Yarrowia lipolytica: one gene and its partners. The protein of the gene in region 2 interacts with the protein of the main gene of each other region in a pairwise test. Links are inferred from orthologs where the notes say so. Each region holds a gene or a part of one and is shown on either strand. Other genes may lie near its edges. The genes, in order: YALI1_D02316g, YALI1_D06195g, YALI1_B27399g and YALI1_A05031g.

Region 1 (7,393 bases), about 390 kb from region 2:
TCCTTGCAGAACTTGGCTGTGTTCTCCTCCAGAAACCCGTTCAGATTCAGCTGGATCTCCCGAATATCTGGCTTGTCTCCACCCAACAGTTCCAGGGTGTAATCAGTGATAATGTCGTCGTCTGGCAGCAGCTCATTCAGCTTCGTAGTGATCCACCGGTTGATGATCGGCCGGTTCACCTTGGTCATGTCCACCGCCTCTCTGTAGATTTTCGGCACGCGCAACTTGGCGAGATCTCGCTCTTGGCGCTGTTTTGCCTCTGCAGATGATACTGGAACTCCTCTGAAGGACATGGTGACGATTACTTTGGTGATCTTGTCTGAGGAGAATACAAATAGTTCTGCATGTACAGTGCAGTGCAGGAGGCATGCGTGTCGCCGAAATGGTGCGAGACTGGAGAGAAAAAAGCCAGAATAAGAGGGACAGATGATGGCGCGATTAATTTCTGGGACCGTTTTTGTTTCCCTGAAAAACCAACAATCTTTTTTGATCACGCTCAAGAACCGATTCCAATCACTGTACTCGGCCACTCTCAAACCCAATCTTCAACTCAACCTTCATCACTCCAAACATGAACATTGACAAACCAGAAAACCCGTTCACAGCGCCATTGGCAACGGGATACAGCAAGCAGCCACCGAAATGTGAAATATCCAGCTACGACCGATCAAGCGGGAGCTTTGCAGCAACCCAGCTCCAAAAACTGCTCGATGACAACACTCAGTATCTCATGGCAGTGCCTCACAATGGTCCTCGAATAACAGACACAGAAAGAACGCTACTTGAACGAGATCTGGCTGCGACAGTGGCTTCTTTGGACGATCCCCACGACTTACTGTCTGTCATCAAGCTGCTTTCAGCCATTGAGCATGTGCTTACTACTCTGGTCATGGACACCCCTACCCAGTACAGTATGAGCCAGTTGTGGGGTATCGCTTCCAGATATATGGGTCCAAACTTGTACAAACGCAACATTGACATTCGACGACATCAAGCCCATTGGGTGGCAATGCGACGAACCGCCACAAAAGAAATTATAGGCAAGGGTTACCTTGTTTCTTTCAATCTTTTTGAGTCCATTTCTCCCGAGGATTTTGATTCCCTACAAGATTACCTCGTGACCCTGGCCTGGGCAACTGCCACCGATGAAGAATCGGGCTGGTGCATTGGCATTTACCACATCATGTCGAAGCTGGGTCCTATTTTGGGTAATGGGGGGTTATTGGAGAAGGTGGGAGATGCTCTGTCGTCGGTAGATCCGGCTAGTGAGCTCGAGAGGTATAGGTTGGATGTTGAGGCTTTGTGGAGGAGGGGAAGTGGTAGTCAGCAAAAGTCGAAGAAGAGGAAGAAGTAGTACTAATGAGCAGCCGTACGTCAACAATACCCAGGGTCGATCACGGCTGTGAAGGGTCTGGTCATATGTTACTGGCGACAGGAACCATGGGGTAGCTATGTCATAATCCTGGAGCCTCGGTTTCCTTGGGCAGCACTGGCAACATCCCACATCATGTACATAATCCCTGTAGTATGTACTTGTACTGTGATTACAGTACCATGTAGGAGTATTGGAGTATTTTCTCTTGTATTACAGTGACCTTTTGTTGACCAATTACTTGGTATCATTTAGGAATATCCGATAAGCTTGGAAGAAACACCAAAAACATCCTCATAGACGGATACCTAATGATTCTTCTGCTGATCCGTTTCCATACGAAAGACACCTTGGATTACTCACTAAAAGAGCCCCTCTTCCGATAGCATGATATACGACAACGTTCCACCTAACTGCTCCGGTGTCATCAACCCACTACCTACACCCATGAGAAAGCACCTCACTCAACCGACTTTCCAAATACTAGTTCCAAAGTAAAACCATATAGAGATACTATTTATACCTTCTTCTTCCCCGTTGTTGTTTCCCATCATCTCTACTATTCCTCGAGTTGTCCACCAAGTTCATTTTCAGCCGTTCCCACGGATGTATCACTCGTGCTGTACAATACAAAATACTGTATCTAAAACTCTTGCTCAGAAATTCTACGTATTATAATACTGATCTTCACATTCACCAACCCCGGTCCACCCACACCAGCCAGGGAATATTTTCCTATTCAAGACAATCCAAGCGAGAATGACATGTGAGACAGGGTCAGTTGGACAAGGGTGTCATAAACAAGCCAAAGAGGGGAGAGGGGTACAGCATGCAGTAGACAGTTTTACAACCTGGAGTCACGAGAAGCGATCCAAGGAAGTATTGCTGTTTTTGTATTGTTTTTGTTCAAGTACAGTAGTGATTATGTTGCCTTTGTGTTGATTATGCTGCTTTGTGTCGCTTTACAACCTGTACCTACAATTCTTGTATCGTTAATCTCATAAATAAATAATGCTATGTCTATGCTCATACCCGTTCAAGAGGGCAAGAACGGGCCGTACAAGTGCACATTGTAACAGGTCTTGCACATGTACTGTGTACTCTAGGACTGTTCGAAAACTTGTACCAGCCTCTAAAGGCTGTCTAGGCCAATAGCGGCAGCGTCTCCGCCTTTCTTCCCTCTCCATACTTCCATCGCTGCCAGAAAATGACAAAGTCGAACAGCACAGTTATGCTGGCAGCTCCGACAAACGGAGCTTCTTTGATGAAGAAGGCCCGTCTCACTGACTCCTCCAGCGTCAATCCAATGGCAAAGATGGACATAGAGTAGGTGGCGTTTCCACAGCAGGCAGCAATGAACATGGCCAGACCCATGTTCTCAGTGCTCTGCCGCTTGTAGTTCTTGTACACCTGGGGGATTCGCGACACTGTGTAGAGAAGAGAGGATGTGTAGGACACAAAGATGCCGAGAGTGAGAGCTGAGAGGAGAGGAATGGCTGCCGTGGACATGTGGGCATCTGTGTTGTCTACAACCGTCTTAACCCCCTTCATGACAATGGGAGCAGCTGCGGCTCTAGAGGCTCCAAAGGAGGCTGCCAGAAACGCCTTGGTGACGCTTCCGGGAATGAACTTGGGCACGGACGAGGACGAGGCCGAAATGCTGTAGTAGTTTGGGGAGGGTGTGACCGAAAGACCGCCAGGTGTGGCTTTCTTGGTTCGGATTTCGATAGGAGCTTTGCCCTTGCGCTCCAACTCGATAGGAGTGTTTGTGTAGCCGTCCAGGACCTCGATTTCGGTCACTTCGGGGCCCGTGCTCTCCATTTTGTGAGCTCCATAGCCCAGAGTCTCGTAGTAAAAGTACTGCGAGAGGAGAATCGCGTCAATGCCGCAGTAGTATGTGGCGAGAAAGATTTGGAACGGCAGCTGGTGGGTCAGCAGAGCACCCCACAATGCAAACGTGTCTCCTCCAATCCAGCAGAGAAGGAATCCAAACGAAAATCCGTCCACTCTTTTGTTTCGGAAGTTGGCGTAGCACTGGTATGCCAGAGCCACCACCCAGATGACTATACACAGCTGGGTGAGTCCCTGGGAGATGAGTTTGAGAGCTTCTTCGCGCATGTTGAGAAGGTGTGTGGGTTTCGAAATGTGTCTTTGATGGGTGTGGCTAAGACTGTGGCCGTGTTATGACTGTATGGTGTGGCAGGTATGGGTCGACAGTGGCTGTGGTTGTGGCTGTAGTTGTGGCTGTGGCTGTACTGATGTCGTCTTAATCGCTGTTGATATCTTCTCTATCGCTGTTGTTGTCGTCTAGAACGTCTTCAGTGCTCTATCTTGTATGAAGTATCGTTTACCAGGTATGTCCGTCCCCCCTCTCTTCTATATACATGTGAACGGCAGCTGATAAGCCCAGGAGATAAGGGTAGATAGAGTTTGAGTGGTATGTGGGATGGTGCATCAGCACAACATTGGGGGAGAGGGTGGAGTTAGCGGGCGGACGGAGTTGCTCCGAGGTCGGTGTGTTACACACCTTGCTCTTGGTCGTTGTTGGTGGTGTTGTTTTTTTTTTTCGCTTCTATTTATTGTCTCCAAACCGCCAAATGTCTACTTTTACTCACTCTCTTTCGCGGCTCGCTTATTATGTCACTCAACATAGACTCTGTGGGGGCGCTTTGGCGCAACCTGGGTGTAGAGTCATGTGGGAGTTGCGAAGGGAATTACAGTGACAAGGCGCGAACCGCTTAGTCCAGAAATAGACCAGACGGAGAGAGACTGGGGGAGCAAAGACCAATATTTGACGGAGGAAATATCGTCTAGACCCGTTAAATATTGTGTAGACCCGTTTAGTATCGTCTAGAGCCGTTTTATTCATAGTAGGATCGTCCGTGGGCTCCCTGACTACTTGTAGGCGTGGTTATGTATGTACTGTTACGTAGAGTAGGGCGGATATAGCATTCCGACTACAAAACGTCAAGTCAAGAGGGGTAACCGGAACGTCCGAGGAGCTACTTGTAGTCAGGAACGGTCGAGTGGCAGGTGTCAAGTTAATGGCTACATGCTGGCGGCGATTTATTTGTTCTTGGTATTTCTGATCTCCCACTCTGGGTTGAATACTCCACCCTCTCTGTCTTGCTTTCCGATTCTACTTCTGATTTACCCATGTTGTATATTTTTTAAACACACCCTGATATGGCGTTTACCTCGCTACAGTGCAGTATCAAAGCGTTGTAATTGGCACCGATAACACAGGGTCTTTTAAATCACACTACATAACTGTACGGCATGTACGACACTCTATATGCCAAGTGTTATAGAGGGCTAAGAGATGTAGCAGGTCGGAAGGCTGCTATGCAACACGTCTTAAACATATATACCTACCAACGAGGTTGTCGCACTGTTTCGAGACGATACAGGGACGCTCTTATCATACAGTCCATCATCTAACTCTGATCGGCGCCCAAGCAACCTAATTGGAGGTCCATCAGAGTTGGATAATCGGCATATACAGCTATCTGAAGAGGTAGCCGTTGTTAGCCGAGTATTCGAGGCGGCAATCTCATTACACCGACGACGTAATACGGCTTTAGTCGGTTCTAGAATGGCCTAACGTAGCCACTGCCTCCTCCATTCATGCACCGTTTCCGCACCCACTTCCGCTCACGTGCGGTCTTTGTTTTTAGATCCCACGTGAAGCCGTGCGTGGAATAAAGTTGCGCGTAGCCAATCAGCGAGACCAAACTGGTATCTACTGTGCCAGTACAGTACATACTGCACACGAACGAGTCATCTAATGGGCGGACATTTGAGACGAAAAGTAACGTAATGGCTACGTGACCTGAATACACACAGAGAAGACTTGCTTTTCTGTTGTGTTTTTCTAATTATATCCTCCCCTCTTCCTCAAACTCAATCATTCCCGGTGTCTCAGTGCTGCTTGTCTCACACTGTTTTGACTCTGGGAAAAATCAAAACACCGTACAGACCTGAAATGTGATGATAGTCGGACAACTTGGTTGGAATCCAACAGAGTCGCTTTGGACCGAAAACAAGGACACTTTTGTATGTAAATGTAACTACGGGGAATTTTATGGTGTCATTATTTTTGCTATAAAATTTCTGTAGCAGGAGTTAGATCCTGATCCAAGTGTCCTGTGGGTTCAACTGTTCGGACTCAGTTCTAGTATCACACAAGATCTTTTTTTTTCTGCAAATGTACGAGCAAATTTCATATCTGCAGTTTAATCGATAATTGGGCCTAAAATTACTCTACTACATACAAGTACAGTATGTACTCAGATCTAATCATCAAAGGATTCATTTTGTTAAATATTATGCAAGTGCTGAGGTAACCCTTACTACGGTTACATGCAATGAAGGATGAAGGGGAGGAGGGCCAGGGGAAGGCTGACCAGCAGCGAAGCGCCGCCATTTTTGTTAGCGGAAGGTGTAGGAGCAGCTGAAGCAGCAGCTGACTCTGCAGAAGCAGGGGAAGAGGCATCAGATGACGATGCCGAAGAAGCATCTGAGGTAGAAGAAGCCTCGGTCGAACCTCTAGAAGAGCTTCCCGAACCCCCAGAAGCAACACTACTGCTGAGGGTAGTGTTGTAAGAGCCACCGTTGGCGATGAGGCCCGAGGCAGAAGGAATGGCTTCTGTGCTAGAGGGAGAAGAAGCGGAGCTTTCCGAAGACTTGGAACTCGACTCAGATGTGGTAGAAGCCTTGGAGCTGCTCTCAGAAGAGCTAGACTCGGAAGAGCTAGTGCTGGAAGCCTTGGAGGAGGTTTCAGAGCTGGAAGCAGAAGAAGACTCAGAAGAAGAGGAGAATTCGGTGGAAGTGGCTGAAGAGGACTCGGCCGAAGAAGCAGATTCTGTGGAGGTAGCTGAAGTAGACTCGGAAGTGGAACTAGAAGACTCGGAAGTGGACGAGGCACTAGATGACTCGCTACTGCTAGCCCCCTTGGCAGCCTCCTTATGGTCACTCTGGTACTGCTTGACAAAGTCGTTGCACTTGGAGTTCACATCGGTCTCCTTTTTATTGGCGAACCCAACTCGCTTCTTGTCCATATCAAAGACCGTGTACACGTTCTTCATGAATACAGCGCCCAGGATCCACTGCTGGCCATCGTTGCCAGTCTTGAGACCCTGAACATTGGAAGCACACAGTCCGGAGCCGTCTGTATACTTGAAACCAATGTAATCCTTGGGCGAGATGGCCCATTTGGTTCCGGCAACCTCAATCTCGATGGAAACGGTCGAATCACAGGGGATAGCGTAATTCTTGCCATCAGTCTGCGAGTTAGGAATGTATCCATGGAACTTCATAGCGTCCTCGGGGGGCATGACGAGCAGAGTGGTTCCAGTGTCGACAATGGCGTTTCGTGAGGCGCCGAAATCAACCTGATTACCTCCTACATACGCTCCATCTACAGAGACCTTCCAGAGAGCTGTTCCAGACTGCACATCTGCCCAGGAAATGTCTCCGTCGACAGCAGCGTGATCGTAGTCGCCCAGAACAAGCGCTCCGTCGGTATTGTCAGCAGTTCGTCCCAGAGACACACCAAAGACCCGCTGATCGATCTGGCCCTGGTCCTTGAGGACGGAAATGAGGGATGGGAAGTTGGATTCGCTCTTGTCGACAGCCGAAAGGCCCATAATGCCGTCAATGGCAAAGCTGGCGAAGCTGGGGTCAGCCTGGTTGGCTGTTCCAAACTGCGTGCGGGACGTGGTGGCTCCCAGGGTCATGTTGTCCACCACAATGTCGCCATCAATGTCACCGCTGGTGTAGGAAATGGAGTAGGTATGGTCTGTGGGCTTGATGGTGGTGGAGTTGTCAACACCAAAGCGGTTTCGCTTCATGCAGGCTGTACTGGTGCAATTTTCGCTGTACACCCACATGTAATATGAGCCAGTATCGAGCACCATTCTGTACTCTGCCTGGGAAGAGCCCAGCTGGGTGTTGACGTAATAGGACACGTCACCACCGTCCTGTTCGATGGGGACGAACCGTTTGCAGTCCACTGACGAT
Region 2 (9,943 bases):
TATTAATTTCATACAGCTAGAAGACGTTCAAGTCCAAGTGTGATGTTCTAGGGAAAAAAAACGTCACATATGGGCACTTTATACCTCTTTCAACAGACGAAAAGCTTCACTAGCGAGTATACTGTAACACCATCATTTACCAAGTGTATGACATTTCTCCTCATACAAGCTTAGTCATCATTAACACACCAAATAGCCACAAACGAGGATCGAACCACGGAGGCTGCACCAACGACGACATCAAAATGTTCGCCGCAGTCTTGCTCTCTCGATAAAGTTACTGCTGCCTGTATTGTGTTCCTCCTCCTCCCAACTCCCAACCTTGGGGATATTTACCGTGCAGACATGCAACAGTAGTTGCAGGCCTGCAAGCGCCACCAACAATTGCTCAAAAGTCGCAATGTTAAGTGAGTCATGGGGCCTGTGAAAACACGTCATTCGCAGCGGTATTTTAGCTCGTCCGGCGATCCCAACAGTATATATAGCGTGCATATTGCTCTCCCAGATCATATTCTACACACTTTCCAAGGTAGCAAGACATCGAATAAAGTTGCCTAACTACCCTCCAACAAATCTCACCAACCCCAAGTAACTTCCTCACCCCACACTACACCACACATTACAACTACAACTATGGGTCTTCCTGTTACTTCCAAGACTGGTGACGAAATCCTTGCAAACAAGGGCGAGGGCACTCAGCATGACCATGGCCACAAGCATCACGATCCCAAGACCTTCGAGAAGAAGCCTGACACCACCCCCAACCCCGCTAAGCCCGAGGAGGTTGCTACTCAGGAGTACCTCGAGCGAATGGAGGAGGAGTACGCCAAGCGGGAGGGCGGTGCCTAATCTGTGATTATCCGGTCCAATTGAGTTTTTGATTCTAACTAATTGATAATATTTGTATTTCCAGTGTTTTACTTGTACTCGCTACTGTAGTGTGATTATGTAAACAACCAGTGGCGCCAGCACAAGACCATATGATAGGTATGATGACGATTTTTAAAGTCAAGATCACTGTGAGACCTCCGAGCTCCCAATAAAAATCACATGACTAAAAAATGTACTGCCACTGTGTTCATGGTTCCTTGCGCCACATCTGTATCGTGTATTGTACTCATACGAGGACTTTCCACCGCTCGGCTCATCGCATGGATAATGTATGATCCGGTCCGTGCGCCACAAATGGCACTACGTCATCTTGCTTCTCTTTTCTTGGAAGCAGGTAACTGAGTCAGGGTCTTCTGGGCTGCGTAATCAACCTTGTGGAGGTGGCGAATGGAAACTGACTGCGGTCATTCACTGCTCCGCCTTGAAGTGGATCTTAAGCTGGAGTTAGTCACTGGGCGGTGTAGATGAAGGATTTGAACTGAGGATAAGTTTCCTTTTCAGTATCGAGTGGTCTGGTACCATTAGGGGTATTTGTCGTTTTTAGAGTCTCTTGCACCCGAACAGCAGCTTAGCTGGCGGAGACAGCATCAAGTCATTGTGACATGCAGGCATGACTGTGGTTAATGGAACGGAATAAAACATCAATAATGATACGAGAGTACTCTAGATACGGTACTGGGACACTTGGCCAAATCATTGTCATAATCCATCCACCTTGGACTCTACCGACGGCTCCAATGTCTTTTTTTTTCATGGACTGGGGCGTAATATTCGACACGACGAATAACCCAGAGTTCAAAACAAGTTTGTTTTTACAAGTGCACAGCCCATACACGTGCTTTTCAGTCTCCATGACTCCGAACCTCAGGGGTTATGACCTAGTTCGGCATGTCTTTGCTACACCTTGATTGTCTATAACTCATTGACCTTGAGCAGCCAACTCTGTCTAGAGACGGCCCAGTTGCTACTTGTAGGTTGACGGGTTGCGTGAGAGCTGAAGATCCATTAGCTCTCTGGGTTTAATTACAGCACAGCCCCGCGCGAAGATTTTTATCTCGACTTTGTCAATGATGGTTAATGGTAGTGTTTGGCCAAGTCAATACAATGGGCTTGGCTATGGACTTGGCGAGCACTGAGTTGAAGAGGCGCAGTTTCGAGGTGGAGAGCCGTATAGTAGTGATCCCTTGAACATATTAAAACGTGCACAAGTCTTTTAGCCGGCGAGAATGGCTCAACGTCCGGCCAGAGGTTGGAATCATAAAGTCTAGAAACACCAGACAGAGCCAATTTCGGGTGATCGCACGATCTCTCGTATTGCCCGAATCTAGTTTGTAACTGGGGGATAACACATATCAGCGAAAACTATTGGTTCGGATCCACTGGAATCGCACCATAGCTGCTTATCATCTATCTATGACGGACTAGCACATGCACCTGTGTCTCTGTTTGGTTTCATAACGTCCAGCCGTATCTTCTTGGCAATGCGGTCCCACGATGCCCACCATCTCCACCTGGGCAGTGCTCATGACTTTATTTTGCAGTTTTCCCCTCCAAACCCCAAGCCGTCGTCTGCCAGGGCTCTGTCGACGAGCTGGACAGAGTATAGATACCCTGAGGAAACCCCGGCCCGACGGCTTAGGCTTATCCTCGCTATCCATCTATACAGGCCAAGACTGTGAAACCTAGAGGTGCAGTTGCCGTGCACCGGGAATGGACTTTCGGGAGTGCCGATGTTGGCCAGCCTCATTGTGACTGTACGTACGTACGAATATCAAACACAAATGGTATCGAATCGCCGGCTTTCAGGGTCAGGTGGAGGACGTATTCCCTTCAGCAGTGTTACTTCACACTATTGCCCAGCTACTCTAAGTTTGGTGACTAGTGATGTGACTCAACAGCTCAAAGTATAGAGGCGACAAACAGTGTCACAATGAGGTGAGTTTTTCCCCATTCGGACGTAACAAGAATATTTTTTTCACACGTTTCAAGGAATTCTTTGGTTGAACTACGACGTACTTGTAACTGCGACGAGTACAAATGGAGAAAGTTTGACAATGCCGTAGCGGTAGCGTGAGCTCGAGTCGTTTTACTTCTTACTGTGAGATATGGTGTTTACACAGGATGTAGGAGATGCTATGTATATAGAGCACTTTGGAGAGAGGGCGAAGCACAGCAATGGAAGCAGTTTCAAGTTCGAAACCGATCCAGTATTCGCAACTCGGTCAATCAATAACCGACTTCAACTTCAACCCATGTTTTTACCCCCATCATCCCAGATGGCATCCACTACGGCGGGGGCTGAGCCTTCGTGAGAACGTGTCTCAACAGAGTTTTGTAGCTGTGTGCCAAGAGTGCACAGCCTGGTGGGTTCTTGGGGGATGAGAGTGAGCTGGACATGCACTTGCGGTCCTCCAGAACGGCAGTGAACAGATTTCATCACGTGAACACGTTTCAAGGGCGAAATCCGCAGTCCTCGCACAGCCGGTAGTCCACCTGACCGGCTTGCTCTGGAGCAGGAAACCTGGGGGGCTGTGCAACAAACTTTTGCTGGTTTGGGACAAGATTGGTGATACTCTGCAGCCCTGAAGCACAATTGCACACGCCATAGTGCGGCTTCAACACAGAGGTGTTAGTGGATACTGCACTGATAGAGATTAAGGAGTAGATTGAGAGGGAATTGGGCGACTATTATGACGATTACAAGTCGCAAAGACCTCAACCGGAGTCGACTACAGTCCTACACAACCACCTTTCAAGTCCGCCCTGCAACCCTAAATGCACTTTTAATTTTCACCTTGAAAGGTAATCAGCTGCCCTCTGATTTGCACGTCCACGGCAAACACGAGTCAAGAGGCGAGGCGCAGCAGGCATGTACGGGGTCCGACGACCAAGCAGGCACAGACCGTGAGCTGTGAACCCTTAGAGCTGAGGTTCGGCTACTGTTTGGCTTCATCAGGCCGTAGATAGACTTTGCACGGCGATTAGCTTGCTTGTTGCCTAGGGATAGAAAGAAAGACGGCGCCGAACTAAAGTCCAAACAAGCTCTTTATTTGATGCTTAGACCACACGCGCATGCTGCTGCTGCTGCCGGAACGGCGGGGCGGCGTTTGAACAAGAGACAGGCACACACATACGGAGAGACAGGAGGTTTCACTTTTTCCTTTTGCGTTTTCCCTCTTTGGACTTTTCGCAGCCTCTCTCCTTCTCTCAGATCCAATATATTCTTGACGGTGTCTGCTGTGTGATCCGAAATGCCAGACACGACCCAAGACCCCCCGACACATACAGATAGTACGCCACAAGGTACTCCAGGTGCAATAATGAACCCCCAGGCGCCCCCCGTGATATCCATCGACACCAGTGTGAGTGAGAGGCAGTGAAGGAATCACAGTGAATGGAGCGTGCACAGTGACGGTGTGGTGTCGTCTTGTGTTGTCAAGGCAGTGATATCACATCTTGTTATGATGATGATGTGGGGTGTGAAGACCCGCAGTTTCAAACTAACCCAGATTGTCGATGCAGACGAAAAACACCCCCCGGTTCTGATCGAACCAACCAATTCATACTCCCCCACGATCAAGGAGGAAACAGCCACACCCTCGACATGTAACGACTCGGATTTTTCGACACACGCAGAAGAAGCACAACAGCACCTCAATGAAGACGCAGACGGCACACTGGCCGGAGGATACAAATGGGCCCCCAAGCAGCTCAGCCACCTGATCGACCCCAAGTCGGTGTTTGTGCTGGCAGAGATGGGTGGTCTGGAGGGACTCGCCACTGATCTCAACACTAATCTTCAGTCGGGTCTGTCCGAGGAGGACGCTGGTGCCCGAGACGCACGAATCGAAGCATACGACCGCAACATTCTTCCCGAAAAGAAGGCAAAGTCGCTCTTCTACCTCATGTGGATGGCGCTCCAAGATAAGGTGCTTATTCTGTTGACAGTTGCTGCCATCATCTCGCTGGCTCTGGGTCTGTATGAGACCTTTGGCCAGCCCGCCGAGCACGACGCCCAGGGTCGAAAGCTGCCCAAGGTCGACTGGGTCGAGGGAGTTGCAATCATGGTCGCCATTATCATTGTGGTTGTGGTTGGAGCAGGTAACGATTGGCAGAAGGAATTGCGGTTCGTCAAACTCAACAAAAAAAAGGAAGATCGAATGATTCGTGTAATTAGAAGTGGAAAGACCCAGGAAGTGCCCATCGCCGATCTTCTGGTAGGTGATCTGGTACTTCTGGAGCCTGGAGATATGATCCCAGCAGACGGTATCCTTGTTTCGGGCCACAACATCAAGTGCGATGAGTCCTCTGCTACCGGTGAGACCGACACCATGAAGAAAATGTCTGGTTTCGACGCCATGACTGCTTACGAGAGCCGGGTCGACGGACTTACTCGAGGCAAGGTTGATCCCTTCATTCTGTCTGGTTCTAAGGTGCTTGAGGGTATTGGTACCTATGTTGTTACTGCAGTTGGACCCAACTCTTTGTTTGGAAAGACCCTGCTCTCTCTCAACATTGAGGACGAGGCCACTCCTCTGCAGGCAAAGCTCAACGACATTGCCGAGGGCATCGCCAAGGCCGGTGGTCTTGCTGCTCTGATTCTGTTCATTGTTCTTTTCATCCGATTCTGCGCCCGTCTCCCCGGCAACAAGGACACCCCTGCCGAAAAGGGTAACGAGTTTATGGACATTTTGATTACCGCTATCACCATTATTGTCGTGGCTGTTCCTGAGGGTCTGCCCCTGGCTGTGACTCTCGCCCTGGCCTTTGCTACCACTCGAATGCTCAAGGACAATAACCTTGTGCGAGAGCTGCGAGCATGTGAGACTATGGGTAATGCCACCACAGTGTGTTCTGACAAGACCGGAACTCTGACTGAGAACCGAATGACTGTCACCCGAGGAACTATTGGAGTCGAGGAGTTTGCGGTAGAGGAAATCACCCAGTTCTTCGAGACTCTTCCTGCCGAGGCCCGAGAGATTCTCTTTGAGTCCATCGTGTTTAACACCACCGCGTTTGAGACCGACCAGATTGCCGACACTGACGCCGAACGGTTTGTGGGATCCAAGACCGAGACCGCTCTCCTCAACTTCGCTCACCTCTACATGGGTCTTCAAAACCTTGCCAACCAGCGAGACGCTCGTGAGATTGTACAGATTGTGCCCTTTGACTCGTCTCGAAAGTGCATGGCTGTGATTCTCAAGATGAAGGGCTTTTACCGAATGTATATCAAGGGAGCCTCCGAGGTTCTGTCTGCCCAGTCTTCAATGATCTACAACAACAATGTCGTTTCTCCCATCACTAAAGAACAGCGACAGGACATTGACCAGAAGATTCTCCACTATGGCGAGCAGTCTCTTCGTGGCATTGCTCTTGCCTACCGAGACTTTGAGTGTTCTTCCTGGCCCCCTAAGGGCATGGCCTCTTCTGACGACTCTTCACAGGCCGAATTTGAACCTATGTTCTCCGACCTGACTCTCTTTGGTCTCATTGGTATCATGGATCCTCTTCGAGAGGGTGTCACCAAGGCTGTTGCCGACTGTCAGTCGGCCGGTGTCATTGTCCGAATGGTTACTGGAGATAACGTCAACACTGCCAAGGCCATTGCTCGAGAGTGTGGCATCTACTCTGAGGGCGGCCTGGTGATGGAAGGACCTGTCTTCCGACGACTTGCCGACCACGAGATGAAAGAGATGCTTCCCCAACTCCAGGTTCTTGCCCGATCTTCCCCTGAAGACAAGCGAATTCTCGTCAAAGCTCTCAAGGAGATGGGCGAGACCGTTGCTGTCACTGGTGATGGTACCAACGATGGTCCTGCCTTGAAGCTGGCCGACGTGGGTTTCTCCATGGGTATTGCAGGTACTGAGGTTGCCAAGGAGGCTTCGTCCATTATTCTGATGGACGACAACTTCTCCTCCATTGTCAAGGCTATCATGTGGGGCCGAACCGTCAACGACGCTGTGAAGAAGTTCCTGCAGTTCCAGTTGACCGTCAACGTTACTGCTGTCGTTCTGACCTTTGTTTCTGCCGTCGTCAACAAGCACGGAAAGTCTGTGCTGACAGCCGTTCAGCTTCTGTGGGTCAATCTGATTATGGACACTCTTGCCGCTCTTGCTTTGGCCACCGACCCTCCTTCTCCTGACGTGCTGGAGCGAAAGCCCGACCGAAAGTCACAGAACCTCATCACCGTGACCATGTGGAAGATGATTTTCGGCCAGGCCATTTTCCAGCTGGGCGTTACCTTTGTGCTATTCTTCGCCGGCAAGTACTTCTGGACCGTGGATACTCCCAGACAGCAAGACGAGCTGGACGCCACCGTGTTCAACACCTTCGTGTGGATGCAGTTTTTTAACCTCTTTGTCAACCGACGACTCGATAACAAGATGAACATGTTCTCAGGTATTCACCGAAACATCTTCTTCATTCTCATTGTGGTCATCATTGGCGGTTTCCAGGTCCTCATCATGTTTGTCGGAGGTGCTGCCTTTTCCATTGTGCACCTCAACGGCGGCCAGTGGGCCACTTCCCTCATTTGTGGTGTTATTTCTCTCCCCGCCGGTATGCTTCTACGTCTAATTCCGGACGCCTGGATCTCCGCCATGTACCCCCAGTTCCTGCACAACTGGATCTCCAAGTTGTGGCGAATCATGCGACCCAAGAACAAGGAGATTGTCGAGATTCACGTTCCCCGGGACGATGGCTTCCAGGGATCCGACTACAAGTGGCACTCCGGTATTGAGGAGGCCCGTGTGCAGCTCGAGTTCATGCGAGCTCTGCGAGGAGGCCGAATGTACCAAGTACCCAACCTGGTGCCTGTCAAGATCCGACAAATGTTCCAGCGATCTAGAGCCAACTCAGTGGCTTCCCTGTCCAAGAAGGAGCCCTCAGTCAGTACGACCACCGCTAGCCCTACCCAGACCGTCTTTGATGAGTCTGGACGAGACCGATGGACCGAAAACGACGGTCACCTGGCAGTTCCCGGAGCCCACTACGGTGGATCTGGTAACGGCAACAATGGTAACACTTCCCCCACCTCTCCCGGAGGTTCTTCTTCTCGGTCTTCATCTCGGGGCTCTTCCATTGGAGCCTTGGTCATGGTTCCCGCCATTGTGGGCGGAGCGGTTGCCGGATGGAACCCAGAGCTCAAGCCTCCCTCCAACTAATGTATTTATTGACTTATTGTATAGCATGCTAATGAATTATCTATTTGATTTGATGACATCGAAAGTAAATACTTTCACCACTTTGCCGAATTATTACTCCGCTGGGCCATTGGCTGTCCTAGAGGCGGCTGCGCCCGGGGTATACTCTGCTGTGGCCCACTCTATCACATCAGTAAGGGCTAAGTAAGGCCCGCCGTCTTAGGCACCCTACAAGTAGTGCTTGTCCCAGTTTTGGCGCCCATATCCACCCAGCTCTTGTAGAAGTAGTTGATGGCATGAATGGGCTGAACTCGGGCCTTGGAGCCGTCCTTTCGAGTGTTCAGTTCCTGCGCATTGTCAGCCATCTTCGTAGTGTCTCTTTGGGCCTGGAGAATGATGAGATCATTCATCACCGAGTCCCTGATATCCCTGTAGCAGATATAACTCGCTTGAAGGCTGGGATTCGGGGCACTGTGAGAAGGGCAGGATTCTCTTCGGTGGAGTTAACGGTTTCGTAAAAGTACACCATCCAGTCGGACATGGCTATGTCGAGCATCATTCGCTTGGCGTTGGCATGCACCGGCTGGGCCAGAGGGCCTCGTTTGTTCCCGCTTGCACTCAATTGTGATTAAATTAATGGTTTTGTGAGTACAAGTACAAGTGCTTGTAGGTTGACGATCATACAGAGATGTGTAACCGGTTATTAGCTATAATTACAAGTGCGCGTCTCGGTAAGACGTGGAACGCGTTTTGGCCTATATTTATTCTGTGAAGTGTAAAAAAACAGAATATATAAGGATAACGTCCCAATATTTCCCATCTTACACCTGCAACGCTTTTACCGCCCAAGCGTGCCCATTTTCGGCCGTTTCAACACCCTGCTCGTCGTCTCTCCTCTCCCTTTGCCCTGCGTTGAACGCGTGTGGGAGTCTAAATTTCATAAATGTGCACTCACACAGTAGAGTCAGTCTCAGGAAAAAAGGCTATGAAGAGGAAGCTTATTTCCGTTGCTTGGGAGACCGCGGTAACCGTAGCAACCCCAGGTTCTCAAATGGGCCGATCCCAAACTTGGGTTTTGTTTGAAGGCAATTTGACGTGACGCGGACAGTGAACAGTTGGCAGCCCAATCAGGTCGTTCATGAACTGACATTCAGAGTGAAAATGAAGGATTTTCTCCAATTGGAGAAGTGAGTATTTTCGTTTCTACCATAATACTGTAGTTGATTGGCGCATCTTTTTAGTTCAATCCCAGTACGAGTACAAGCTGCTCTCGCGCTCTAAAAGTATCACCGTAAATCATCTCGTGTATTAATATATAAATCATCTATATCATGGTGGCGGGGTGCCGTGCTCATCTAAAATAAATTAATTTGTTTACAAAAGAGCGGCCATGATGGCGGCAGCAGCAAGAACGCCGGCAGCGGGGGCGTTGGCAGCAGCGGAGTTTTGGCTGCCAGAAGAGCCAGAGGCAGTGGAAGAGGCAGAAGAGGCAGAACCAGAGGCAGAGCCGGAGGAGGAAGCAGAGCTGGAAGATCCGGAAGAGCCGGAAGAAGAGGAGTCGGACTTGTTGGAGTCAGGATCAGACTCTTTGGGGTCCTTGTTGCCAATGGTGTCGAGACCGGACTCGTGAGAGTCACCCTCCTGGGTGGACTGCTGAGACAGACCCTCGGGCTTGCCAGCACCGTTCTTCATGTAGTCCTTAGCTCGGGGAACAATGCCGGGAATGGGTCCATCACCCTCCCAGGTGTTGGATCGAGCAGGACAAGTGGAGGACTTGCCATCCTTCTTGTATCCACCGTCACCCTGGGGGTTGGCCTTGGCAAAGGCAGCCTTGATGATGTCGAACTCGCCGTTAAACTTGGAGACGGAGTCGCCGTCGATCTTGACAATACCGTAATCGTTGGACTCCT
Region 3 (6,736 bases), on a different chromosome or scaffold from region 2:
GGAGGAACCAAAAGTGTACTCTGCTCCTTCTAACATGAAAATTCGACCTGCTGGAACGTCCAAGCTCAATAAACTCAAGAATAGCTCTCCTGCTACAGTTGTTACTCCCTCTGGAGAGGTGGTTCCTGAGTCTTCGTATGATTCCCACATGCGAGTGTACACTTTGGACCCCAATTGGAAGGCTCAGAAGGACCTGGCGGACTCCCGTGCACAGTCTACTAACCTGGCCACCAGTGGAGTCACCCATAACATGAAGCGAATGGCTGAGGCCAAGCAAGGAGACGGCGGACGGCCCACCAAGAAGCCTGTAGTTGCGTGGGATGGACGTGCTGGATCTAGTGCTGCAGCCCAGGAGGAGGCTATGAGAAGGGCACCCAGCAAGGAGGAGCAGGCCAAGCAGAAGAAGGAGCGTCTGGCCAAGGAACGTGCCATTGGACCTGGACGATAAAAGGAGATACGGGTATAAGGATATAATTAGTCGGATATAAATCGCATTTGTATATTATTCTTATGAGACCATGTACTTGTAGGTCGATTTGCCTAAGGTATTAGTCGTTGAATAGCTTATCCAAGCACATACAGTACTCGCAGCTTCTACTGTAGCTACGTTGTAGGTATGAAGAGCCAAATGAAAAAACTCTTGCGAAAATTTTCGTCAATAGCCTGTTGTATAGCACGAAAAAAGGCACGTGTATCTTCGTTACCTATTCAAGAAGCTATAGGCGGCACGTAACCGAGTGTGAGCGGGCTGTGTAAGAATATCAGGGAGATAGTCCTGAGGTGGACTAATGAGTACAGTAGTTGTAGTCATTGGAGCAACAGATAGTATATTACGAATATATACGTGTACAAGTACAAGTACAAGTACAAGTACAGGTGTAGCCTCCCTTCACTATACGTAACCCACAGTCAGACATGACTCAATACCGTCAATGCCGGACTTATTTGTACCCGGAGATGAGGCTGGGAGGGGCGCTGCCTGACTCAGACCTCCCTCCACACCGTACACAGCCTGGCGTGATTGCCGTGTTTGTGTTACACGATGCCCTCCACAGTTAGTAGTACGAGGCGTAAACGCCACATTAACGCACAAGACGTGATACAACGTTGTTTGAGGCCACAAAGCTTGTCATGCGCAACACTCCCCATTCCGAAGGTGTATCCGCTCTCGTGCCTGTTGGTTAAGATTTGGGGGAGTGTTTGACGAGACCTGTTTTCATCCTGAATGATCATCTACCAGTATTCTACGAGTGATATCTGCCAAGACTTCGTCTGCAAGTTCTGTCTAACCTCCTCTTGGCATGCGTCGATAGGAGTATCACCATATGCACGATAGAGACCATGTGGGGGTGTCCGGGGAATCAAGGTTACCTTACCGAGGACCCCAAGATCCCGAAATTAAAGCCTATATTTATCGCGTATGTCTGAACCAAAGCCACCTTTCAATACCACCGTCCATACGGTTGTGCAAGCCACGATGAGTTATATTCGGGCTGGAGAGTGGCTTGACAGACAGTATATAATCTTGGGTGAGGTGTGTGCGACCGGATTATTCTCGCAATGCAGTTCAAAAACCCATTTGTCAAGGAAAAGGCTGTATCTGCGGCTTCCGTCGACTATGAGACGGCTGAGGTCTCTTCTACTGAAGGCCTGTCTGCAACAGAAGACGAAAAGTTCGACGGAGTCCTCGACGGATCTGGAGATCACAAGAACCCATTCACTGATCCAAATGTTGCTGAAAAGTTCCGACAGCTCTATGAGGACTCTCAATACGAAAGCAGACATGTGTTTGATCCCGATTTCGAGTGGACCAAGGACGAAGAGAAACGTGTCAAGAGAAAGATGGAGTGGAGGGTCGCTGGCTGGGCATGTATTATGTTCTGGGGACTGCAGATTGACCGAAACAACTTGGCTCAGGCTGTGTCTGATAATCTTCTAGAAGACCTGAAGCTGACCACCAACGAGTACAACTACGGAAACATGATCTTCTATCTGTCTTTCATGAGTGCTGAGATTCCGTCTCAGCTGGTTTCCAAACGTTTAGGTCCTGATCGGTGGATTCCAATCCAGATCTGTCTGTGGAGTGCGGTAGCCATGTGTCAAGGAGCCCTTCAGGGAAAATCTTCGTTCTATGCTACGCGAAGTCTCATTGGTCTCTTGGAGGGAGGATTCATTCCTGACCTGGTTCTTTGGTTGTCGTACTTTTACACCTCAAAAGAATTGTCCATCAGACTCTCCTTTTTCTGGACTGGTTTGTATCTCGTGAACGTTCTGACTTCGCTCTTGGCCTTTGGAATTTTGAGAATCCACTCTGGAGGTTTGGCTGGCTGGAGATGGCTGTTCATCATTGAAGGACTCATAACTCTGTGTATCGGACTAGCCTCTTTTTTCAGAATGCCAGCTTCGGCTGTCAGTACCAAGAAGTGGTTCAGACCAAACGGTTGGTTCACTGACCGAGAAGAGAAGATTGTGGTCAATCGAGTTCTACGAGACGACCCGTACAAGGGTGACTTTCATAACCGACAAGCAATTACCCCATTCACTCTCTACAAGTGTCTGTCTGACTTCTACATGTGGCCCATCTATGCCATTGGTCTTCTGGCATACATTGGAGACAGTCCCGAAGGAACCTACTTGACTCTAACTCTTCGACACCTGGGTTTTTCTCCCTTCAACACAAACTTGTTGACCATCCCAGTGAGTGTTCTTAAAATGATTCTTTTGTTGTCCTTCACTTGGCTGTCTGAAAAGATCAATGAGCGGTCCCTCGTCAGTATCATTCAACCCCTGTGGGTCATGGTATTGGTGATTGCTCTCCGTTTCTACCCTGAATCGGGTATTAATGTCTGGTGTACCTACACCATTCTAGTCCTTCTTCTTGGAGGGCCCTACATCCATGCTGTTGTTGTGGCATGGACTTCCAGAAACTCCAACACTGTGTCTCAAAGAACAGTGTCTGCCGCCATGTACAACATGTGCGTCCAAGCTGGAGGTGTTGCTGCCACACAGATCTATCGAAAGGATGATGCTCCATTCTACCACAGGGGAAACACCCAACTGATTATTATCAGTGGAGCAACAATCGCTTTGCTCATTGTGACGAAGATCTTCTATGTCACCATTAACAAACGAAGAGATCGAAAGTGGAGCGCCATGTCCAAAGAAGAGCGAGAGGAGTACGCTCAAAACTCGACAGACAAGGGAAGTCGGCGGTTGGATTTCAGATTTGCTCATTAAGCATGCATAACTTATAAAAATTGATGTGTTGTACAAGTACAAGTAATAGTTGTATCTCCGACGTGTAATGCTTAGTAGTCAAGAACAATCTCATTCACTTGAACAGGACGTTCTCGTTCCATAATTGCAACAGTTTCGACGAGATCATGCTGGTGGTAGACGTCGGCACAAATGATGACGACTGATTTCAATGCAAATTCCGTAACGTCTGTCAGTCGATCATATTTGGGGTTCTGTAGAATCTCCAGAGCTCGTTTACCCAGACTCCGTACTGACGCCTGCTCTGACGCGTCTAGAATGTCGGGCAGACACGACAACAGACCCATGAGCCATATACTGAGACCACGGCTGATTTTAGGTCCCAGCCATTTATGACAGTACTCCAAGAGCATGAACAATTGCTGGTGGGGCAACGATGCAATGAATTGTAGTGTTGGTTCGGGAGAAGAAGAGCCCGAAATGAACGTTTTCCATTTTGAAAATGTTGTCGGTAGCTCTGAATCAGCTGGTAGTTCAGGTCGTTCATCTCCATGCGATTGCACAGTTTTCCGTAACTCCATGAATGACTTTCTGATCTCCACTCTCCACTCGTTGATAACAGATAGTGGCATAACAAGAGACATCTCCGTGTATTTCTTCGAGTATGTTGAGGGTGTTGTGGCACGTCTCTGTCCTTTGACTGTCGTAAATGCTGGACTCTGGTTTGCTTCTCGTTTCACCTGGGCTAGATACTGAGCGACATCCATAGGGGGCCCTTCAAGGTCCAGGTCGGCCACTTGCTCGTCCAGCGGAAATGCCGATCGCTGGCCTGTATCTTCGTTCAACGGTCCTGCCGTGTACTCCTCCAGGTTTCGCTTCATCTGGTGTGTTCTGTTGTTATCGTGAGGCTCTCATCAAAAGATTCGTGAGCCTAACTCTGATGGGCTTTGAGCCGCATGGTTGTGTCAGTGGCGAGATACAACTACATTGTAGTGTGTTTTCTGTAGATTGAGCGTTCGATTTTGGCGACTTTGGAGAATTTTTTTCACATTTCGCTACTACATGGTCTCTACACACAAAAATATAGACTTCCTAAAACATTGACATATACCATACAATATTCCAGATGAAGCCTTGGGCTGTATCATGACATCACCCGCTGTGGGAATACCCGAACCCTAATTATGGAGTTTAGTTCGCCACCATCGTCAAGCAAGCCCTATATATCACCATACCAACGCCTTGCTTAAACCGCAAACCCACTCAACTATATACACCTGTGACGTCTTCTAAACGACACAGATATACAAGCACAAGTTACAACCCCTGAGTAACAGCCCAGGTCCGCCTCTAAACCCCCATCGCACACATCCACACACATCACCATGAGCTGCACCGACCTTCTTCTTGTCATTGTGGCGGTTTTCTTCCCCCCAATTCCAGTTGCCATTCGACGAGGTGTCTGTTCCGCAGATTTCTTCATCAATGTGGCTTTGTGCTGCCTCGGTTTCCTGCCCGGCCTGATTCATGCCTTTTACATCATCTCGAAATATCCCGGTGACGAGCATGGATGTCGGCATGGCGGCTACGCTCCTGTCAACGGCTCCGAGCAGACCTTCTACGGCTCTTCTGATCTCGAACGAGCCGGTCCTTCCAGCAGCCACCAGCAGCAGCCCCAGCACCAAGCTCCTCCTTCCGGGGAGTACTACACTTCTCTGGACAACAAGAAGGACAACACCAACCGCCCTCCTCCTTACTCTGGGTAAGTGGGTATCTTTATAAGTAAGTTAACGTGACATTTCTACAGCACCAGCACCCATTCTCGTATGACAATTATTGTGTAGTAGGCAGACATCGTATTCGCTTATGAATAGAACCACCCTCTCTCTCTATAAGTATATAACGCTGCGCAATCTTGCATGGACTGCGGTGTTTATGTACCCCTTTCCCTTTTGCCACTTGCGGTCATTAAGTGAGTAGCGTACCTATCCAACCGTTATTGAGGGTTGTAATCGGCCCTTTTATTAACGAATAAGACACTTGTATACGTCCTTTAAACGCTCTTCTACAGCCCTGGGTATGTGCGCACACGAACCATCTTTCAATACGGGAAGGAGAAAAACTCCATCGTAATACGTGATGCAGGCCCCGCAGACAAACGCAACTACGATATCTGGGGTGTGGAGATATCATAGGCCTCCCCTTGTTCCCTTGTGCTCCGATCCCATTGATATTATCAAATACACACTATAACAGCCTCAGAAATACACTAGCAGCAGTACATGTCATCCAACATGCCTTGGGTCGGACATGTCGGATCTGCAGGCCAGCTCGTGTCTCGCTATATGATAATCCGCGCCTTTTACCGAAACGAAAATCGCGATCAGAACAGGAGACCACACGGACACGGCCCGTGCCCAACCGTAGCATAGCCAAAGTTTCAAGGTGACCCTGGCGGCAGCCAGCGCAGCGCTGGGTTGTGATGATGCAATCTACAGCAACTCAGAATGGCACTAAAACTCCAACACGGTGTCATGTCCCCTATACCACTCGGAGAAAGGGAGATAGTCCAGCGGGAGCGCCGTCCGTCGTAGTGGGATCACCAGGGTACTTTTGGGTGTTTTTTGGCTGTTTCTTTGGCTTTCAAGACTCGATTTTGCAGTCTCATAACGTATCTTATATCGTTCCTGTTGACAAGGCTAAATAAATAATCCCACATGGAGGAACCAGCAGCCAATAAATTCAGTATATACCCCCGCTTGACGGCAAACAAGACTATGCAGGCTACGGTCTGAAGTTTAGCAGAGCGCTATTGTAGGCCCGCATTAGTCCCCCGCTAGTGCCTTAGCTGAATTATTCCATCCTTGGAACCCAAATGACCGTGACAAGCTACGACACTTGTACCTACGACATGAGACACCAGGAACAGATACAATATCCATAATTCGAAATATAGGAAGAGAACATCTCGTTTTCATATTATACAAATAAATAAGGACTAGCCCGAAAATGAGCTTGGCATTGACAACCGAGATTAAATAAAAGCCTCTGTTATTTGTTGTTCCAAGACGGAAGACAAAGAAGTGAGCCTGTCCATCCTAGAAACAAATGCATTGAACCGCATCGTCGCAATCCACTAAGGCCCATACGAAAGCATCGATCCGTGGGTTGATGAATTGTGATCCATCTTTAGCGAATGATGATCCACATGGCCTGACGGACCCGGGTTGCTGTACTGATACATATCTCCCATATCCGGAATCTGCTGCTCCGGAGGTGGAGGCAGATCAGAGTGATGTAGATCTCCAGAATGCTGCGGTTGTTGTGGTTGTTGATGTTGATGGTGTTGTTGTGGTTGTTGCTGCTGATGCTGATGCTGATGCTGCTGCTGCTGTTGATGCTGCTGCTGTTGATGCTGCTGCTGTTGATGCTGCTGCTGTTGCTGCTGTTGCTGTTGCTGCTGTTGTTGGTGAAGAATATGTTGTTGGATATGTGGATCCTGGTTGTCGGAGAGTCCCAG
Region 4 (7,503 bases), on a different chromosome or scaffold from region 2:
ACTTCGTAGACTCCAAAAGGCTTATACCGTCAAAAACGCAGATATTACCGTGACACCATACCAATATTGTTCAACCGATGAAATCCCCTCGAAAACGTGATCATTTTGGTACCACATGAGCCCCACCAGTCTCATTAAAAACAGCCCCTTGCGTGGGTTCCGTTCGCCTTATGAGGCTGACATGTATCTCAGCACAGCCGTCCCAAGGTGATTTGGACCTACAGTAGTTACACTGTACCAAAGCGACCACCAGAAAGGGCTTTTGCCGACTTCTGAAGTCCAAAGCGAGGTCTAGCGAGGTTTAAATCGGCCCCAACACGGTTGCAAAACACTTTAAACCCGCTCTTAATCGCTGGTGTCCTTTTTTCTCCCTCTCTTATACTCCTGTCGATGCTGTATCTGGGTCTGAGACAGCCTATCTCGGCTGATATCAGATGGAGGAACTTTAGGACGAGGTTGCATGAGGGGGATTCATTGGCCAAAAGGAGGAGTTTATAACTTTTTTAAAAATATATAAAAATTAAAATATGAACGAAAACATCGCTCTCAATTTATGGGAAATTTTTGTGATTTAATACAAAATGTTTTCCCGCCATTAGAACCCCCACCTCTCCCCGCTAATAAAGTTAGATTAACGCCACCGCTGCATATTCGACGTGCTAACATTGCTGATGAGCCTCTTTTTCTCCTCCTCCACAACAACACATCACATCACACTCCACACCATGAAACTGTCCATTCTGCCTTTGATCGCCCTCGCCACGGCCGTGGTCGCCTCGCCCGCGCCCGATGCAAACTCCATGAAGCTCATGAACCAGGCCAAGGACTTCGGCATGTCGGTTGCCCAGGGAGGACTCAAGGACATTGCAAAGACCCTGGACGACGAAGACATCCCCGGAGACTCGCCCATCTCGCTGTGCGACGCCGAATACGAGCAGCTGCTGGAAATCAAACACCTGTCCATCGACCCCAACCCCCCGGCCAAGGGCCAGAACCTCACCATCGAGGCGTCCGGATACCTCTACGAGGACGTTGAGGAGGGCGCCTACATCGAGGTCGAGGTGCGATACGGCTACATCCGGCTCATCAGCCAGACTCTGGACCTGTGCGAGCAGTCCGAACAGGTCGACTGGTCCTGCCCCATTAAGGCCGGCGACCTCAAGCTCAACAAGCAAATTGAGCTGCCCAACGAGATTCCTCCCGGAAAGTACGTTGCCGTCGCCCGAGCCTACACCGTTGATGACGATCTCATCACCTGTCTTCTTACCACTGTTACCTTCCCTGCTTCTTTGTAGGTCGAATGATAACAGCATAGTATGGCGTCCCCCCTCAGTACCGCGCACAACTAACTGCATATAATTGATGAATGATGACTATTTTAGAGTGGGGGAGAAGCTAGCCAAGAGTCCAGGGCTGTTGAGAATCTTGGAGACAAACTGTGCTATGGCAAACGGTACTGTAGACATGTTCACACGGGCAGCATGAAAGCTTACCAGCTAGCTGAGGTTATCTACAGGTGCAAGTATCGTATGTACTTGTAGTTGGTTGCTACATAGTTGGGTATGTTTTAATACTGATATCGAAACATTCATAGTAGTTATTCGGTCTGAAAAAACAACAGCTTGATTGAGCATGGAACTCGATCTTCCTAGAAGTTGGAAGAGACGCCAGCATACACAGATGGTAGATCTACCCTACACTTCGATGAGTTTCAGACCATTCGCGAGAACTATTCAGTTTACTCACTTTCTACAAGTACACCCACTGACTCGAACCCGGACCCGCCAAAGAACAACCGACAAGGCTGTATCTAGATTTAAAACACTATCTGCAAGCGGATTTCGACAAGCGGATTTATCCAACATGGAGCTCTTCCCATGTTTGATGGTCGTGCCCCGGTCGTGCCCCGAGTCGCATGCCAGGTATGTTGCCCGTAGCTACCTGTACACTCATTGAATAGACCTCTACCAGACATGTTGAAACCATAAGCACTCACGATCTACGCTCATGTGCCTGCGTTCTTCATATCTGCTCAATAATTGCTCAACCGTCTCAGATACCTACATTATCTGTCTGCGTTATCTCAACCTTTAGGTCGATTAGATATTTGCTCATGCAACGGCGATGGTATTCTAACTGTAAGGTTGCTGTCTACAGACTGAGGAGTACTCATCAGGGGTGTGTATATATCATATGTTCATATTTATCATGCACCGGAGTTCGGTGTTGTGTCACAAGTACTCAAAATATAAAAAAGTACCAGTGGTTGGTCATGTCTGCATTCAGCATGGTCGAGTCCTTGATCCCACTTAAGAAGTGCTGGCAAGAAGAGGAGCGTCAGAGTCCACAGACTCTCGGTTCTCGGCCGCGGTGTTGGCCGAGTTGGGCATGCTGTTGGTGCCGTACTGGGAGCTCTTGTTAGTGCCCTGGCCCTCAACGTTCATATCAGCGGAGTAAACAGCCGAGGCTCGCTGGAAGAGTCGGTCCTCGTCGTCGTTCTGAGGAAGTCGAGTAAACTTCTTGGACTGCCACGCTCGAGGGTACAGGGGGTTGTAGCCAGTCTTCTCCTTGACCAAAGACACGTAGACGGCCACAATGATGAAGATCCAGTAAAAGTTGTAGGAGATGACAGAGCCGTAGGTGGCCGAGTTGGTCCATCCAAACAGCGCGTTGGCAATCATCCATCCTCCATCGGTCTGACCGTTGCAGCAGTTGACGTGCCACACGGACTTGGTGATGTCGTAGGAGCCGGGTCCAGAGCCGGTCTCAGATACGTCCATACCAACTCTGTTAACGAACTGCTGCAGCTCCAGGAACCACACTCCACGGGAGAAAAGACCGGCGGCCACCAGGTACAGGAAGCACGTGGAGCCAATGAGGAAGTAGTTGATGGAGATGGCGTTGCCATACTTGTACATGGCGTAACCAATGAAAGCACCAAGGGCAATGGCGGTGATGACGGGAAGGGGGAAAGCAGAGAAAGGCTGGTTGACACCGATACCGCCGAGGAAAACCACGGCCTCCATTCCCTCTCGAAGGGTGGTCACAAACGGTAGGATGGCCAGAGCGTACTTTCGAGACAGGTACTTGAGGCCCCAGCCGCCGTGGCCCTCGTGGGTCTCGACCAGAATCTTGGCAATCTTGTGTCGCCACTTTTCTCGCATCTTGTTGATTCGCAGCATGGCGGCTCCCATGATGGTGATAATGATGGACGAGACAATGGAGAAGACGCCCTCCCACACGTTCTCAGTCATGCCCCACAGATCGTGTCCGTAGATGTAAAAGGTGGCAATGAACGCACCTCCCACGGCCAGACAGATGAGCAGACCGAAGATTCCACCCAGCCATACCTGGGTAACAAGCCGTCGATACACTTGCAAGTCCTTCTGGGACACATTATCGCCCAGACCCTGGTTGAGGAACGCCAGAAGCACGGAGATGATAATCGCCGTCTCAATGGTCTCTCGGAAGATGATGAAGAAGACCTGAACCGAGAAATAATTCTCGAAAAAGTCCGCGTAGTTGACCATGTTGTGTTGTGGAGTACAACCTGGAAAGAGTGAGTCTGGTAATTAAAAGCGACTTTTCAAAATAAGCTCCGTAGGGGTTAGAGTTGGGCGGCGTGGTGGTGGACATTTATCAAGGGGCAATCGGGGGTTATAGGGGCGGAATTTGAACGCAAAAAACAGATCATCCCACTACTAACGCGACAATAAATAGATTCAAAACATCTCCCGTTCAATTTGGCCGTCCCTATAGCTCTTTAAACGCCTCTCTTATCTGATGTTGCTCCATCTGATAACTGCACAACCTAATTATCCGGAGCCTATTTTTCTGCGTATAACCGTAACGGAGGAAACAACAAAACGGTGGCAACAGCTCCCAGAATCGTCGCAAACCGGGAAGTAAAAGGCGAAAATTCCTCACAGTCACGTGAGAAGTTTGTGCCCGTCACATGATGTCCAGGGTTCCGTCTTGGGTTCCTGGTACCCTGTTATTTCGCCATCCCATCACTCCGCCACCCCACACACCCATAACCCTTGACTAGCACGGCTCATTAACAAAAAGGCAAAAGGGAAGCATCGTCACGTTGCGGCTAATTGGAAGTGTATGGAGGAATCAATTTAGAGAAGTTTGGCGCAGTCCGATCAAAGCACAAGTGGCATAGAACGACTCCTCAGAACGAGCCAATCAAAAACGGTATGTTTTTCTCCCACATTGGACTCTTATTAAGCAACTAGAACTCCACCGAAACTGATTCGGAGCGAATCTACCTTGCACCTGAGTTCCGTTATAAAGTGGAATGTTCATCTCCGACAACAGAACTCACACAACTTGCCCAATTGAGCTCCGATTGGGCCGCCAGAAATTTCAGTACATCTGCTGTCCCTCGCTGACCATTTCTATATATAAATATTGCCATTGTACCCCGTCAAAACAGACACAGACTAGAACTAGGCATTGCCAAAGTTTACAGCAATACCCTGCACTCTTGCAACAGAACATACACTAAACATGCGCGACAATGGTTTAGAACGGCGCTCGGGGTTTCTCCTTTCCTTTTTATCCGCATTAGTCACGTGCGGCCAAGACTTTCCACCCTCAACTGCATACTATCTGCGTCCCCGTTAGCCACTTTGAGTGCAACTACGGTGGGTCTGTTTAGTCCAGATCGTCTTCTCAACAGGGTTGTATTTTGTAGTTAGTTGCAAGGAGGTAAAAGACTATAAACCCGAAAGACCTTGTTTGTGAATGCGAATCCACGTGAGTTCACGTGGTTGGCACGTGGCTGTATGCCTACGACTGTTCTGGTCAGGCTGTCACTTGTGCATTCTTTTTTTTTCCTTTCTTTTGTCGAGTTCGTTAGCAACATGCACTCGGAGTCCGAGCGGAGCTACAAGCACTCACCAAGGAACCACAAGCCACAGTGGCGCAGCCGAATGAGACACGGCGCACCGATCAGATAACGTCATCTGATAAGAGGGGAAGAGCTTGTTCGTCAGTGCCGTGTAGTTTCAGGGCCGTTTGGAGTGTCATACGTTGAAAACTGTAGTGCATAAAAGACAGTCGTTGTGTCAAGGCTAATCCTCTTTAGTTGAATGTTTGTTAGGAAAGGGTGTTCTGTGATACCGCAAGTTATAATTTTTTAACATATATTTCAGAAATACTAGGGGAATTTCAAGCCTGAAATGACAAAGAAAGTGTTCAGATTGTAGAACTGAATGAACAGAACGAATTGGGACCATCTTTTCCATTCATTTGTACACACCCACTCGATCCAGCAGAACCGATTGGGAATGCCACACTCAGACAATTAGTTAAGATTAGTTGGAATCAAGCGCACTTATTTGTTATGTTTTTTATTAACGGAGGGATCTCTCAGAGAACTCATTGATCTAACTAAGGCAATATGAACAAGACAAATTGTCATAAAGAGACCATTCCAAACCACACCATATCCTCTATCATTCCCCTGGGACTCTTCCTACGCATCCTACGACGTGGTTTGGTTCTCCCTATTCTGCTCACCATCTAGCCCTAACCTCCATGCATCTCAATGCACGTTTAAAAATTATTTTTCCAGGCTGAATATTTCCGTACACACTCACACCATGGCTATCAAACAGAATGCGAAAAAGGGCGGCAAGCCTGGCAAGCCAGGTGGAAAGCCTCCTGGTGGGGGCAAGCCTGCTGGCGGCAAGAAGGTGTTTCGAAAAATCAAAAACGGCTTTGTGGAGCCTCGAAAAGCGAAAGCGGCCAAGGGTACGACTGTGGCAGCCATGGACATTGTTTCTGCTGCTGATCTGAGTGCCAGCGAGAGCGAAGACGAAAACAAGTTGAAGGATTTCGCCAAGTTTGACGATGATGAAGAGGAGAAGGAAGACAAGGGTGGCAAGGCCGAGAAGGACGTCAAGAAGGATGTCCAGAAGGACGTCAAGAAGGATGTCCAGAAGGATGTCCAGAAGGATGTCAAGAAGAGTGTCAAGAAGGATGTCCAGAAGGCTGGCAAGAAGGATACCCAAAAGGATGTCAAGAAGGCTGATGCTAAAACTAACAGCGCCATTGAGGGTTTCGCACAAGCCACTAAAGGTGAAGAGGCTGAGGTCTCTGTGCCTGCGAAGGAAGTTAACAAGGCTGCCAAGAAGGAGGACAAGGATGTGAAAAAGGACACTAAGACAAAGGATACTGTCAAGACTAAGGTCAAGGCTGCTGTTTTACCCGAATCTGACGCAGAAATGGACAACTGGTCAGATGCCGAGTTTTCAGACGGTGGGGAAACCATCGATCTTCCTGCACCCGGAACAAAGCCTCTCGACATTAACAAAATGAACTGGAAGAAGGTTGAGCTAGGCGACAAGAAGATGGACTTTGAGGGTTTCTACGGACTTGAAGAGCTGGACGGTGTTGATATTGTGGTCAACAACGGCCTTCCTACTTTTGTTGTAGGGGAGAAGCCTGAGAAGAAGAACTCTAAGAAAGAGACCAAGAAGGCCGAAGTTAAGAAGGATAAGTCTGGGGATGCCTCTGAGCCAGCCAAGAAGAAGGCCAAGGTTGCCAAGGACGGAAAGGACGGCAAGGAGGTTGCCAAGACTCAACCTAAACAGAACAGCAAGAAAAAGGCCGAGGGAAACGCATTTGAGGCCCTCAATAGTGTGCCCGACGACATTCATCTCCCTGACTGGACTCTCAACGGCGAGCAGCTTAACTACTCCCTCATCCAGGGCCTGTATGCTCTTGGCTACAAGTCTCCTACAGAAATTCAGAAGAAGTCGATCCCACCCATTCTGGCGGGTGATGACGTGATTGGAAAGGCCAGTACCGGTAGTGGTAAGACGCTGGCGTACGGTCTGCCGATTTTGCATCGATTTTTGGAGGCTGAGAAGTCAGACAAGAAGGAGGAGGTCGAGGAGGAGGTCCCTGAGAAGTGTACTACCAAACCCAGACCTAAGAAGGTGACCAAGATGACCGGACAGGAAGAAAAGAAGGACGACGAGGAAGAGGAAGAGCGATTCGATATGTACGATGAGGCTCCCGAGCCCCGCTTTGATATTTCCGACCGACCTGCTGACCTTCCTGTGCTTGACAAGGAGCGAGAAGACCGAGAAAACGAGGTGGAGATGGACGAAGAGACCGAAAAGGTGGAGAGAGACATGTCTTCTGTTAAGCCTCCTCAGGCCATTGTTTTTGCCCCCACCCGAGAGCTTGCTCATCAGATCACCGACCATTTGAATGCCGTGTCTCAGTTCTGTCCTATTTCTGGACCGCGAGTCATGGCTCTGACCGGTGGACTGTCTATCATGAAGCAGCGACGTCTCATGAAATGGAACCCTGCCATCGTTGTCGCCACCCCAGGTCGATTCCACGAGTTCATCACCGATACCGACGGCATGGTTGATGTGTTTAAGCGAACCAAGACTGTGGTAATGGACGAAGCCGATCGAATGCTTCAGGATGGACACTATGAGGATCTTGACAAGGCCCTGGATCTCATTGGACGAGGAA

What was found.
Region 1: the proteins of YALI1_D06195g (region 2) and YALI1_D02316g interact in a protein complementation assay, tested with the Saccharomyces cerevisiae proteins (2 studies listed by BioGRID). The link is inferred for Yarrowia lipolytica from reciprocal best matches to the Saccharomyces cerevisiae genes PMC1 and YPQ2.
Region 3: the proteins of YALI1_D06195g (region 2) and YALI1_B27399g interact in a protein complementation assay, tested with the Saccharomyces cerevisiae proteins (2 studies listed by BioGRID). The link is inferred for Yarrowia lipolytica from reciprocal best matches to the Saccharomyces cerevisiae genes PMC1 and SNA4.
Region 4: the proteins of YALI1_D06195g (region 2) and YALI1_A05031g interact in binary tests that used the Saccharomyces cerevisiae proteins (3 or more experiments, as listed by UniProt). The link is inferred for Yarrowia lipolytica from reciprocal best matches to the Saccharomyces cerevisiae genes PMC1 and FTH1.

Annotation. Positions count from the first base shown.
Region 1 is NC_090773.1:227,728-235,120, reverse strand, and holds YALI1_D02316g (uncharacterized protein), read right to left. Parts: upstream 3,491-7,393; coding exon 2,516-3,490; downstream 1-2,515. Other genes in the region: YALI1_D02348g (uncharacterized protein), read right to left, coding at 1-293; YALI1_D02345g (uncharacterized protein), read left to right, coding at 572-1,354; YALI1_D02275g (uncharacterized protein), read right to left, coding at 5,731-7,393. UniProt on the Saccharomyces cerevisiae protein: Amino acid transporter that moves arginine across the vacuolar membrane. Active during nitrogen starvation when it exports stored vacuolar arginine to the cytosol, for use as a nitrogen source.
Region 2 is NC_090773.1:613,995-623,937, reverse strand, and holds YALI1_D06195g (uncharacterized protein), read left to right. Parts: upstream 1-4,142; coding exon 4,143-4,253; intron 4,254-4,400; coding exon 4,401-8,054; downstream 8,055-9,943. Other genes in the region: YALI1_D06233g (uncharacterized protein), read left to right, coding at 634-849; YALI1_D06152g (uncharacterized protein), read right to left, coding at 8,234-8,419, 8,479-8,616, 8,692-8,715; YALI1_D06131g (uncharacterized protein), read right to left, coding at 9,408-9,943. UniProt on the Saccharomyces cerevisiae protein: This magnesium-dependent enzyme catalyzes the hydrolysis of ATP coupled with the transport of calcium. Transports the calcium to the vacuole and participates in the control of the cytosolic free calcium.
Region 3 is NC_090771.1:2,737,749-2,744,484, reverse strand, and holds YALI1_B27399g (uncharacterized protein), read left to right. Parts: upstream 1-4,601; coding exon 4,602-4,982; downstream 4,983-6,736. Other genes in the region: YALI1_B27454g (uncharacterized protein), read left to right, coding at 1-448; YALI1_B27429g (uncharacterized protein), read left to right, coding at 1,561-3,237; YALI1_B27404g (uncharacterized protein), read right to left, coding at 3,309-4,097; YALI1_B27360g (uncharacterized protein), read right to left, coding at 6,353-6,736.
Region 4 is NC_090770.1:499,664-507,166, forward strand, and holds YALI1_A05031g (uncharacterized protein), read right to left. Parts: upstream 3,531-7,503; coding exon 2,310-3,530; downstream 1-2,309. Other genes in the region: YALI1_A05003g (uncharacterized protein), read left to right, coding at 672-1,295; YALI1_A05052g (uncharacterized protein), read left to right, coding at 5,613-7,503. UniProt on the Saccharomyces cerevisiae protein: High affinity iron transporter probably involved in transport of intravacuolar stores of iron.